Saccharomyces cerevisiae S288C: one gene and its partners. Changing the gene in region 1 together with any one later gene gives a genetic interaction. Each region holds a gene or a part of one and is shown on either strand. Other genes may lie near its edges.

Region 1 (6,232 bases):
AGCCTGGTCGAAGATTATTAGTTGTGCCAAGGCAATATCAGGTTTATTAATCTTTTAGGAAAAATGTAAGGTTGTTACGTCTCTTTCCGTCTCGCGGAAAAACATTTTTACTCAAGCCGTCCGTGGGATGATTTTTGGTGGTTATCATTTTCCAAGACTCCAGACAAAAGAACGTGCAGGCGCTTGGCAAAAAGAAAAAAAAAAAAAGCGAGAGGGAAAAGTGGCGCGGTGCCAATACTACCGGTACTTGTTCTTGAATAAGCTATCAGATGGTCAAAATAGGGCTAGAAGAAAAATGGTAAAATAAAGTAAAAAAAGGTAAAAGATAATTTTTGAAGAACTAAAAAATATGTAAATGAATATGTATTCTACGGGTAGTTTTCTGCCTTACAAAATTATGGCAGCGAAAACAGAATGGTGGAAGAAAGTAAAGAGGGTATCGAAATAATATCTTAATTTAAGAATGAAAACATCGTAATGAAGAAACGAACATGTTGGAATTGTATCATTAGAATACAACTGGAAGAGCGAGTAGCAACCACATAAAGTTTCCAAGAACCTTGATATTAGCAGCACCTTGGTAAGTACTCGAGATAGAAGGAACAGAGTATGTAGCGACTGCAGAACCAGAAGCAGATTGTAGTGGACCAGTTAGAGATGGAGATGTGACAACGGGAGCCACGCTAGAAGCAGAAGCTGTTGTAGCTAGTTGGGATGTAGTCTTGATTGAAATAGGGTTGGTTGCTGTGGCCACAGTTTCGTAATTCTTGGCACCATTTGAACCTGGAATCAAAGTGGTTATGTAAGTGGTTGGGATGGACTTGGTTGTGTAACCAGTTGTTGTTTCGCCAGCGGAGTTAGTACCAACAGATGACTCAGTGGTAATAACTGTGGTTGGAATAGCCGTCGTGACAGGGGTGGTAGCCGAAGGTGCAGTGTTTTCGCCTGCGCTTGCAGAACTTACGATAGTCTTAGCAGAGCATACAGATGTAGTTTCACCGGCAGCGTTTGTAGCAGCAGAACATTCAGTAGTGGTTATTGTAGTTGGTACGGCATTAGTGGCAGGAGTTACTGGTGCACTTGGAGCCAAAGTGGTTACATAGGTGGTTGGTACAGACTTTGTTGTGTAACCAGTTGTCGTCTTACCAGCGGAGTTAGTACCCGTAGAGGATTCAGTGGTAACAACGGTGGTTGTGACAGCTGTTGTAACAAGGGTGGTAGCTTCAGTAGTGTATTCGCCAGTACCAGTTGAACAAGGAACAGTGGTTGTGACAGTCTTTGGAGAGCATCCAGAGGTAGTTTCACCGGCAGAGTTTGTACCTGTAGAGCAAACCGTAGTAGTAATAGTGGTTGGGGTGAAATTGGTAACCGTAGTGACTGATGGAGTTGGAGCAATTGTGGTTAGGTAAGTGGTTGGAATGTTTTTGGTGACAAATGTAGTTGTAATTTCACCACCTGGTTTTGTACTAGTAGAATACTCAGTAGTAACGACGGTGGTTGAGACAACTGTAGTTACAGGTGTGGTAGGTGAAGTGGTTGTTGATTCCGAGGCGGTTTCGCTTGGACTGGTTGAACATGGAACAGTAGTTGTAATGGTCTTTGGAGAGCATCCAGAGGTAGTTTCACCGGCAGAGTTTGTTCCTGTAGAGCAAACTGTAGTAGTAATAGTGGTTGTTGATGATGTAGTGACAGAAGTCGTAGTTGTAGTTGGAACAGTAGTTGTAACGGTCTTTGGAGAGCATCCAGAGGTAGTTTCACCGGCAGAGTTTGTTCCTGTAGAGCAAACCGTAGTGGTAATAGTGGTTGTTGATGGTGTAGTGACAGAAGTCGTAGTTTTAGTTGGAACAATGGTAGTTTCGGTTGTAGAAGAAACAGAGGTTTCTGTTTGACTGCCAGGGTATTTGGATGATGATGGAGTGACAGTAGTGCCAGTAGAAAAGCTTTCAGTAGTAGAGCTGAATGGAATTGAAGATGGAGCGGAGGAAGTGATGTTGCTAGAGGAAGATGGGGTTGGTACTGGTGCTACAGAGCTTTCAGTGGTGGAGCTGGATACTGGAGCAGAAGAGCTTTCAGTAGTAGAGCTTGATGGGGTTGGTACTGGAACAGAAGAGCTTTCAGTGCTAGAGCTGAATGGGGTTGAAGATGGAGCGGAGGAAGTGATGTTGCTAGAGGAAGATGGGGTTGGTACTGGTGCTACAGAGCTTTCAGTAGTAGAGCTTGATGGGGTTGGTACTGGAGCAGAAGAGCTTTCGGTAGTAGAGCTGGATGGAGTTGGCACTGGAGCAGAAGAGCTTTCAGTAGTAGAGCTGGATGGAGTTGGTACTGGAGCAGAAGAGCTTTCAGTGGTAGAGCTGGTTACTGGAGCAGAAGAGCTTTCAGTAGTAGAGCTGGATGGAGTTGGTACTGGAGCAGAAGAGCTTTCAGTAGTAGAGCTGGATGGAGTTGGTACTGGAGCAGAAGAGCTTTCAGTAGTAGAGCTGGATGGAGTTGGTACTGGAGCAGAAGAGCTTTCAGTGGTAGAGCTGGTTACTGGAGCAGAAGAGCTTTCAGTGGTAGAGCTGGTTACTGGAGCAGAAGAGCTTTCAGTAGTAGAGCTGGATGGAGTTGGTACTGGAGCAGAAGAGCTTTCAGTAGTAGAGCTGGATGGGGTTGGTACTGGAGCAGAAGAGCTTTCAGTAGTAGAGCTGGATGGAGTTGGTACTGGAGCAGAAGAGCTTTCAGTGGTAGAGCTGGTTACTGGAGCAGAAGAGCTTTCAGTAGTAGAGCTTGATGGGGTTGGAGCTGGAGCAGAAGAGCTTTCAGTAGTAGAGCTTGATGGAGTTGGTACTGGAGCAGAAGAGCTTTCAGTAGTAGAGCTTGATGGAGTTGGCACTGGAGCAGAAGAGCTTTCAGTGGTGGAGCTGGTTACTGGAGTAGAAGAGCTTTCAGTAGTAGAGCTGGATGGAGTTGGTACTGGAGCAGAAGAGCTTTCAGTGGTAGAGCTGGTTACTGGAGCAGAAGAGCTTTCAGTGGTGGAGCTTGATGGGGTTGGAGCTGGAGCAGAAGAGCTTTCAGTAGTAGAGCTGGATGGAGTTGGTACTGGAGCAGAAGAGCTTTCAGTGGTAGAGCTGGTTACTGGAGCAGAAGAGCTTTCAGTAGTAGAGCTGGATGGAGTTGGTACTGGAGCAGAAGAGCTTTCAGTGGTAGAGCTGGTTACTGGAGCAGAAGAGCTTTCAGTAGTAGAGCTGGATGGAGTTGGTACTGGAGCAGAAGAGCTTTCAGTGGTAGAGCTGGTTACTGGAGCAGAAGAGCTTTCAGTGGTAGAGCTGGTTACTGGAGCAGAAGAGCTTTCAGTGGTAGAGCTGGTTACTGGAGCAGAAGAGCTTTCAGTGGTAGAGCTGGTTACTGGAGCAGAAGAGCTTTCAGTAGTAGAGCTGGATGGAGTTGGTACTGGAGCAGAAGAGCTTTCAGTGGTAGAGCTGGTTACTGGAGCAGAAGAGCTTTCAGTGGTAGAGCTGGTTACTGGAGCAGAAGAGCTTTCAGTAGTAGAGCTTGATGGGGTTGGTACTGGAGCAGAAGAGCTTTCAGTGGTAGAGCTGGTTACTGGAGCAGAAGAGCTTTCAGTAGTAGAGCTGGATGGAGTTGGTACTGGAGCAGAAGAACTTTCAGTAGTAGAGCTTGATGGGGTTGGTACTGGAGTAGTAGTCTTCTTAGTGCATGTCTTAGATGTGGTAGTTTTCTTCTTTGTACATGGAGTGGTGTCGTGATGAGGAGGTGTAGGCTTTTCCTTTGTGCATGAGGTAGTGGTTGGGGGTGTAGGCTTTTCCTTAGTGCATGAGGTAGTGGTTGGTGTAGCAGGAGCGGTGGTTGATGATGATGTAGATGACTCGGAAGTGCTAGATGTAGTGGTAGATGACTCGGAAGTGCTAGATGTAGTGGTAGATGACTCGGAAGTGCTAGATGTAGTGGTAGATGACTCGGAAGTGCTAGATGTAGTGGTAGATGACTTCGTACCGCCACAATTATTGTCACAATCTATGTTCCAATAGAAGCCTGGGAAATCCGTTTGAGAGTGGCCTTGATTGTCATAGTTGTTACAACCAGTAGACAAATCAAAAGATGTAGTTCCCCATTGCCAGGAGCTTGCATATTGAGCGGCACTACCTTGCAAATACTCGAATTGAATTTGGAAGTTAGGCATCCACACCTGACAGCTGTTGACATCTTGTGTGGCATAAACTTCAAAAGTGGCTGTGAAATCAGTTGGGTTGTCAATCAAATAGGTATTTTCGTTGTAACCGTATAGTTGGACGGTACCTTTTGGACCAGTGACACCAATGATTTTCAAAGACCATAGATACTTCAGGTCAATATTTTCTTTACCTTTGACATGAATAGTGATTTGGTATGTGTTGTCTTGAACCCAAGAAACGGAAGTCACATCCAAAGTATACTGCATGATATTTTGCTGGTCCATGTGCCAATTGAAGTCTAAGTTGGGACAGCCATTAACGATAGAATTACAGCTAGTTCCTTCGGAGGATCCTCTTGGAACTAGTGCAGTTGGAAAACCCAAAGCCGAGTTAAATAGAAGCGAAAGGACCAAATAAGCGAGTAGAAATGGTCTTTGCATAGTGTGCGTATATGGATTTTTGAGGCCTACAAAAGTATATTTTAATTAGAACCACAACATGACGAGGGATAATAACTGATGAATAGGGTGCTTTTTATACGTTTATTTTAGGAAGCAAGAGATCCTTTTTATCAATTGGGAACCCTTCAACAATTTGTACTGGTAAGTCTATGAGTTATCCGTTCTTGAACTAGAAGAGAGCGCAGTAACGTAAATGCTTGAACATATTTGTTAAGGTAAATAAAACTGCCCTAATTTTTTATTTAATTCGAACACGGACATTCCTCAGATAAGACAAGTCTAACAGTTAATTCAAAGTAGAAAGAGCTTAATTTCTCCGTAAAAGAACGAAGTATATTGCGATGATGCCTTGAATCCCAATTGGTAACTCTATGACATTTTTGTAAAGGTTACCTCATCAGAAGAGAACGGACCTAAAAAGATGACCCACATTTCTCTAGAAACAATCGTACCCTAATAGTTGCTTTAAATTGCTCAGCGGTCAAGAAAACGTATCATAATGTTATTCTATTCTTGAGCAGGCACTTTTAGGGTTGGGCAATGTCCTCAAAGTAAATATTAGTAAACAAACGAATACCTCCAAATCCATTGAATTGAAAATCCATTCCAAGCTCTGCGCTTCCAATTGTTAATCACACCACCGATAGGCAATAGAAGTTCTGTCCGTGAAGATACCGCAGAATGAGTTGTGCCCGTATTGTTGCACCTAATTACGGAATCCCAAGGTATGCGATGTCCCAGTACGACCGTTAAAAAGACAACATGAATGACTGATCTGTTTAAGAGTATAGGCAGAAATAAAAAAGTTTGTGCAATGCCTGACAAAAAAAAGCTAATTTTTCTTTTAAGAAAGAATGTCATTCTTTTACCGCAAAGTTAATTTCTGCCTACAATCACCTTCTAAACGCTCGGACTGATTGCCTTGAGCAATCAGCAGTTCTTTGAAGCCACTGTCGCAACAAAGAAAAAGAAAAGGGAAGTCCATTCTTAGCCCCAAAGAAAAGGATGACAAAAAAAAGAAAAAAAGTTAACTCGTACCAGTAAAGCCTAATTTTGCAGTGATCGCTAGCCCCAGAGAAGGACTAAAGACAAAAAGGACCCACTCGATAGGAAAATAACGGCCGAAACTCTTTGGGCGACATTTTCTTGTTAAGAAAACAGAAGAAAAAAACCTTAATTTGAACTTTCCAGGCACACCCAAAAAGGATTATGCTTATGTAATGCCACATTCCGAGAAACTGAAAGGCAAAAAAGAAAAAGCCTTTTTTTTCCTGCCGCGAAAGTTTAATTTGCCTACCGGCGTTCCTATTGGAGTCAGGAAAAGATCACTAGGAATTACAGCTGTGAGAACATACTCTGGGGCTGGCGTAGGCACACAATCCGGTATTCCTAAAGTTTTGTGGTACAAAACTCCATACCTAAAACATAAAACAAATCTCACCCGTGGATCCTTTTATTCATAATACCCCGTCCTGCACGCCGTGGAACTGAGTCTAAGTTGACAAGGCTACGAATGAATTTTGGGAAATGCATACGAAGAGGACTGAAAAAGTAGCAGGTTTCATGTGGTGGAAATACCGATTAGCGCATTCACATTCG
Region 2 (3,227 bases), on another chromosome or scaffold:
GCCAACTTAGACCAAGCAAAGGAGATTGTCAAGATAGCAGAATCCACCCCATTGCCCGTTGGTGTGGCTGAAAATTGGTTATATTTACCATGTATTAAAATCGCAAAGGAGCAGATCGAGAAAATTGGTCCTGTAGTAGCATTCACCCACAATTCTACCGGTCCATTTGTTACTCAAAATAAATATTTGACCACAACCTGGAGACAAAAACCAGAGCACATTGGCGGATTTCTATCTGATGGTGGTGTCCACCAATTAGCTCTCGTTATTTCCCTACTCGGTGAATTTGGATCTGTTTCTGCATTAACGAGACAGGTGCGTGAACGTTCCGGTGCAGATGATATTGTCTTTGCTACTGTCCAGTTGAAAAATAAAGAGGTTATCGGAAGTTTTACTTATGGGTCTGCCTTTGGTGCTACCGAAAAGTCGGTTTTCTTGAAAGTCTATGGTAAGAATGGTACCGTTACCGTTGACTTATCAGACAAAAAAGACCCCGTTGTAAAAGTCAAATTAGGGGGTTCAGCTGAAGATAACGGTGACGAACAAATTTTTAAAGTCGATAATGATGAAAGTTTCGGCGTCAACGCTGAATTTTTGAATTTTCACGAAGCTGTCAGCAAGAAGGACAAATCCTTATACCTAGGCACACCCAGAACTGCATTTCACCATTTGGCTTGTGTGGACGCGTTTTTAAAATCTTCTGCCAAGAATGGTGACTACGTTAAAATTGAGCAGCCATGATTACCGTTTTACGATGTAACGCTTTTTTAACCTTAATAGATAGATTCCCTCATATATTTATAACTATGTACCCACATAAGTATACTTTTGGAATGATAATACTAACGAGATAAAAAACCGTTGAAAAATTTCTAAGTTTTCTTGAACTAAAAATAGCCAAAATTCTCCATCCACTTGTTGTTGCAAAATGTTACGAAGGCGAGGTTCTTGGAAATCTGGATGATTATGGGAAAATTCGTTCAACAAGAACGCCGAGCCTGGACGAAATACTTAGTCGGCATGGAACTAGTTATGAATGACTTTTCCTATATAAGATCTACAACCGTTTCCAATTCACCATGAGATATATATATGTTTAACGAATCAGGTACTCGTCCGAAGCATTTCGAGTAATGCAACCCCACAAGTGTCCCCCAAGAATTCACTGGGATTTTTGATGACCGAAAGAAAGCTATTGCAGCTGCTACGGCGTCCTTTCATCTCCCTTTCTTTATTCACGGCCTTAAGAGCTTGTCCGCTTCGCCCCAAAAGCCTAATTGCTTAGAGCATGAGAGTTGAAAACGACCAGAAGTGTCGTTTTAGGTAAGCATTCGGCCATAATGAACAGTAAGTTTGTCCGAAAAATACACCGCTAGGGTTCGATAACGAAGAGCGCATATCAATTGCGTTGTCGACTTAATTGCTCTCTTAGTACAACGGTATGTGTCAGTGATAAAATCCTACCGGTTCCACTTTTTGTGAGCGATAGATGACGGAACGTATGCGCCTATTTCTTTTTTTTGGCGCAGCAAGGGACAATGGTCCCTTTTTGAGAAAATGTTGTAGGCTTGGCCATCGGCGTGAACGCATATAAAAAGAAGACTGCCAACATGACAGTATTTGAAACAACTACAGATTTGGCAAAGTTCGCCAAGATAAAGAAGACCGAAGCAGGTGCTAAGCTTCCATTAAAAGTTTTTCAAGAAAAATCTGATTATGGGTTCAATAAGTAGATACCTTCTTAAGAAAGCAGCAGATGGGCTTAAAGATGAGCAGAGATTGAAGATTGAAATGTCCGATAGCAAAAGTGTCCCAGAGTGCTTTCATTTTAATAGGGAAAGAAGAATGCCCATAGCCGAGATAAACGGCGAGGATGGGTTTTTCATGTTTCCGTCTCAGCAATCGCTTGAAAATTTTGAAAACACTAAAAAGTATTCGAATGAGCTGAGTCCAGATGCAATTGGTATTCCATTATTCCAAATTATCAATTGCACTCTACCGTTTGGTAAAAGAGGTCATAGCAATACTGTGGTCGGCAATGTCCCATATTATAAAATTTTCAAATTTATTTTAAGAACGGCAGACGAACCTCCGCCTTATACTGTGGCAAAAATCGTTTGCTCAAACAACGGATTAATATTGTATAAAGTGCCTCTTTACGACATATATAAAAATGTCAGCCAAGCAAACGTAACTTACAGCTTCGTAGGGACTACGTCTACGGAGCCCAACTTACTAGCAATGGCTCACCGAGAAGGACACAGGGATTTGGACACTAAAGTGAATAATTTAAATCTCAGGTGGCATGTCACTTATTCGCCCGTAGTTACCAACGATCATTATAAATTAATTCTGTTAGCAGATTATGAAGTGAATCGTTTGGATGAAGATGTCATTAGAGCCGCTAAAAATAAGATGTCCATCGACCAAAAGGATCAAAAAGTTCAGAGGTTCGTGGCAGCTCATTATACTAGAGAATTTGAAACATCTCTTTTTAGGTGGGTCGCTCAAGAGGGCCACTTAATTCTTGGCGAGTATTCCACAGATCAAGGATCATTTGGATTGAATAATATCCCACCATTGACGGAAGAACTCGGGTGTCAGAGCCTGCTCATACATTACATAGAGTACATGAAGAGACAACGTAAAAAAATTGCGAAAGAGGCAAGGAGACAAAATAAAAGAAACGTTGCAAACACGACTAACATGAACATGAACCTCATGTAACAAAAGTTTGCGTATAATAAACCAGTATAGATGTGTAACTGTAATTTTTAACTTATCACAAGCTCGTTCCCTTCCTGCGTTGAAAAAGCGGGACAATGCCAGAATATAAAAAAAAGAAGAAACTTTAAACCCTGTCATATCTTGTCCGAGATCTCGTCGTTCTTGTTTAATTGATCTTCTTCGTATACTGCCAAAGGTGCCAAGGCACAAAAAAGTTTAAAGTGGCACGGGCTATTGCGTCACATAAAGCCCGTAGCGCAAAAAAGTGATAGCTGACTTCATTAGATCACCAAAATGGAAAAAACTTCGTGAAGATTTCTTTTTATCTTCCTCACAGTTTTTAACTTCCGGGTGTTATACTCTCCGTTTGAAAAGTTGATTTTGTTAACTTTCCTCTTTCCTTTTGGAGTAAAAACAATATCCTCGATAGGCAAGACCTTCCTGCACCGCTATGGCGGCCATTTTGATTTTTCTTTACTGTGGGAAGCAAGAACTTGTTC
Region 3 (3,165 bases), on another chromosome or scaffold:
AACCCTCTTGAGTCCTTGTGTCTTAACGACCGCATAGACGAACACCGTTGCAAAGAAGTCCAGTTATCTTCATTACGAAGTCTATTGTATGCTATGATTTTAAATAGAACCATAGGCAGCGAGACCGGCGTTTTTTCTTTTCTGCTCTTTTCTTTTCGTTACTTCGGAGAGGAAAGAGACTTATTTTACTGCTTCTTCTCCGTCTTTTTACTTAACATTACATATTTATTGGATTAGAACTTTTGTATAGGGGTAAACAATACTGAGGATATTCATAACTATCTTTTTTAGGTCTCCTTGGCTCTTTTAAGTAGAACAAAAAAATCTAGGACAGTTGCTTTGCCTTTTCAATGTCAGTTAAAAAAATAATGGAAACGTTAGTTCCCACCCAGAAAGACAACAAAAAAGTGTTTTCTTTTCGAAGTATTCCAAGATTTCGTTGTCATGGCATATCGGTACAATCTTTTGGTTGGAATGAATAAAATCAGTTATCGTCCCACCAATGGGAATAGAGCATATAATGTTATCTCAGGACAGCAGTGATGTCCAAGAAAGTAACTACGAGAGTTTTACTATACTACATATTATAAGGACAAATAGTTGCATAGCAACAAGCTTGGGGGATAAACATCAAGAGAATGCATTGAGTTACTACGCAGGCCTTAAAGTAAGGCGATTCCACGGCAGTAATTAGTTTAGATAACAACTTACTCTACTGCGAGCTCTTCTTAAAAGACGTGTCCTTTTAAGATTCAGAAGCATTTTCTTGGGTAGGGGTTTTTTGCGTTACTCTGTTTTTTGAGATCGTAATTCGACACATAAAACTCTCAGCTAGCCCACCCTTTGGGCAAGTTATACCTTTCTACTTTCGTCCAATCCATACATCGCCCAATTAGGATAAAAGTAAATAACATATTCGAGTTTTGTAAATATCCGAAAGGGGAAGACAAGGAAATATCTAGGCACCAAATCCCTTTTTGGAAATGCGAACCACGGGAATATGCAAAAAAAAAAAGAAAACAATCCCGCTTTTTCAAGATTTCAGGCCGATTTTGAGATTAAAGTTTGACAGCCTCAGTCTTAAAAACAAAACAGTATGACAGAACGATTCAAAGAAACTACGGACAAAGGATTTATGCTAAACTGGTCACGCCGTTATAGACAGCAGTAATGCATGGAAAATCCCATGGCTATTCTAATCGGGTTTAAACTTTTTTTTTTCAGCTGCGAATATCTCTTAGTGCAAATTGGTAAACAAGAGAGCTCACAACACACTAAATACGTTGTGTAACGATACATAGCCTTGCTTAGGTAAACGACAGATGCATGCCCATTTCGATAGGAAAATCTTGAATTTTAAGCCCGTTACCGTAAATGTCATTCGATACTGTTTACAGTTTAGTTTTAAAGCGGTAACATTCTTGTTAATTTAAAATGGATCAATTTTGTCACTCTACGAGGAAAATCAAGCGAAGTATTATTTAAACGCAACATTTCTTTGTGCCTTCCACACTTCAGCTATATTTGGAACTTAGGCGCGTTTAGGTGATAAGTTGTTCTGTAAATATGTTTGATTAGTTAAACAAGAGAAATATAAAATTAAGAAAAAAAAAATTTCAAAAACATGGATGAAATGCATTCTTCAGACACACTTTTGTTGCGAACACCGAAATCAAAAAAAAAAATTGGGCTTGTAATACCCAGTACACCAAGTAAAAAATGTAAATATTCATCAGGCTTTATAGCAGAAGACACTACGCCCTCCAAACGGTTTCGTTTATACCAAGCCAAATTTAAGACAAGTTCAAAGAATGTCAAAGCCCAAACTCTTAGCGTATCAATAAAAAAAAATCAAGGTGAAATCACCAATCCATTTATGACCGAAGGATATAATGATTACCGGAATATTGTCAGTCCTGGATTGAGTTTTGATAACGACTGCTTTTCAGAACATGAATTAGTTAGTCCATTGAGTGATATATCTTCGATAAACTCGACATCGCCTGATGTTGAAAAGATTGATTCTTTAGATCCTTTTGGCGTTGATTCTTTTGTCTGGAACTGTAAGCCGCTTGTTAATAAAGAAGCACTGGAGCTCCACCGAATGATTCATTCTTCGTTTCCGATGAGCCCACTGGAATCCAACAGTGATGTGCCACTTTTATTGCCTAAACTCAAAAAAAGGTTATCTCCAGTAAACAGATCGACCTTCAAGCCAACAAGGTACGAACCCTCTCACCGTCTATTGAAGCCCAAAAAATCAATTCTAACAGTACCAGCCAAATCTCTGAATCTCATAGTCAGTTCGTCGCGAGGCTCATTAAATGACGCTACCATCTTTGCCACCGAAATAAATTCTACTTTGAGCAATGAAGAAAACAAATTACCAGCAATTTCTAGTATTTGGGAGAAGCTCACAATTCCAGTAAACTCTTCAATTAAGGAGAAATACAAGAAGCTTAAAGACCAAATATATGGGCAAGCTAGTAATTTTGGCGAAGATGAAGATAATGAAGAAGACAATGAAGACGACCTTCCCGACGCGGCAGTAATAAGAGGTTACGAATTTCAGTCAGGAAGGCGCGATGAGCTGACGCAATGTAATGAACTACAGAGTACGAAGGACTACAAAAAAGTTCAGTGGGCAAAGGTTTTAGAACAATAACTAGGTTCTTTTTCTTCTAATTTGTTGAATTCTAAACAAAGGAGTTTTTTTTTATTATTTCTTAACAACTGGTCTTTTTAATTAAATGAAAAAAGATAACAGCATTATTGTGCTAAGTATTGTACTCTTTTTTAGAAGCTGGAGTAATCTAAAAAAAGCTAAACACCATTATTACTATTTTCCTTCCTCAAGTTGTTGTTTTGCAAGACTATTGCTATTATATTATTATTATGATCATCATTATTATCACCTGTTTTCGCTTTTCCTCTTTTTTTATATTATCTCCTATACTTCTTACTGTAACAAAATTTATGATAAACATTGTATAAAAACATTATAGACGACTATATATATGTGTGTGTGTGTATGTATATGTACCGTATAACGATTTTTAAAAGTATTTAATTCTTCACGCTTTTTCGTTATAAAGTCCTTTTAATGATCCTCTAAGCAATCAGCTGTGTTGCAGTTGGCAGCGTCGTCGATAAGACAAGTGGAAC

Evidence for each region.
Region 2: of FLO11 (region 1) and DIA1, changing one suppresses a phenotype caused by changing the other (phenotypic suppression), as found in Saccharomyces cerevisiae (one study listed by BioGRID).
Region 3: of FLO11 (region 1) and SFG1, changing one enhances a phenotype caused by changing the other (phenotypic enhancement), as found in Saccharomyces cerevisiae (one study listed by BioGRID).

The regions. Positions count from the first base shown.
Region 1 is NC_001141.2:389,064-395,295, forward strand, and holds FLO11 (Flo11p), read right to left. Parts: upstream 4,613-6,232; coding exon 509-4,612; downstream 1-508. Other genes in the region: YIR020C (uncharacterized protein), read right to left, coding at 5,192-5,494. UniProt on the Saccharomyces cerevisiae protein: Homophilic binding protein that enables kin discrimination in heterogeneous yeast populations by mediating homotypic cell-cell interactions during flocculation, a reversible and asexual process in which cells adhere to form aggregates (flocs).
Region 2 is NC_001145.3:903,109-906,335, forward strand, and holds DIA1 (Dia1p), read left to right. Parts: upstream 1-1,716; coding exon 1,717-2,727; downstream 2,728-3,227. Other genes in the region: YMR315W (uncharacterized protein), read left to right, coding at 1-741; YMR315W-A (uncharacterized protein), read left to right, coding at 1,178-1,285; YMR316C-A (uncharacterized protein), read right to left, coding at 2,554-2,865. UniProt on the Saccharomyces cerevisiae protein: Involved in regulation of invasive growth.
Region 3 is NC_001147.6:903,136-906,300, forward strand, and holds SFG1 (Sfg1p), read left to right. Parts: upstream 1-1,624; coding exon 1,625-2,665; downstream 2,666-3,165. Other genes in the region: YOR314W (uncharacterized protein), read left to right, coding at 1-237; metal cation transporter COT1, read right to left, coding at 3,101-3,165. UniProt on the Saccharomyces cerevisiae protein: Probable transcription factor required for superficial pseudohyphal development in response to nitrogen starvation.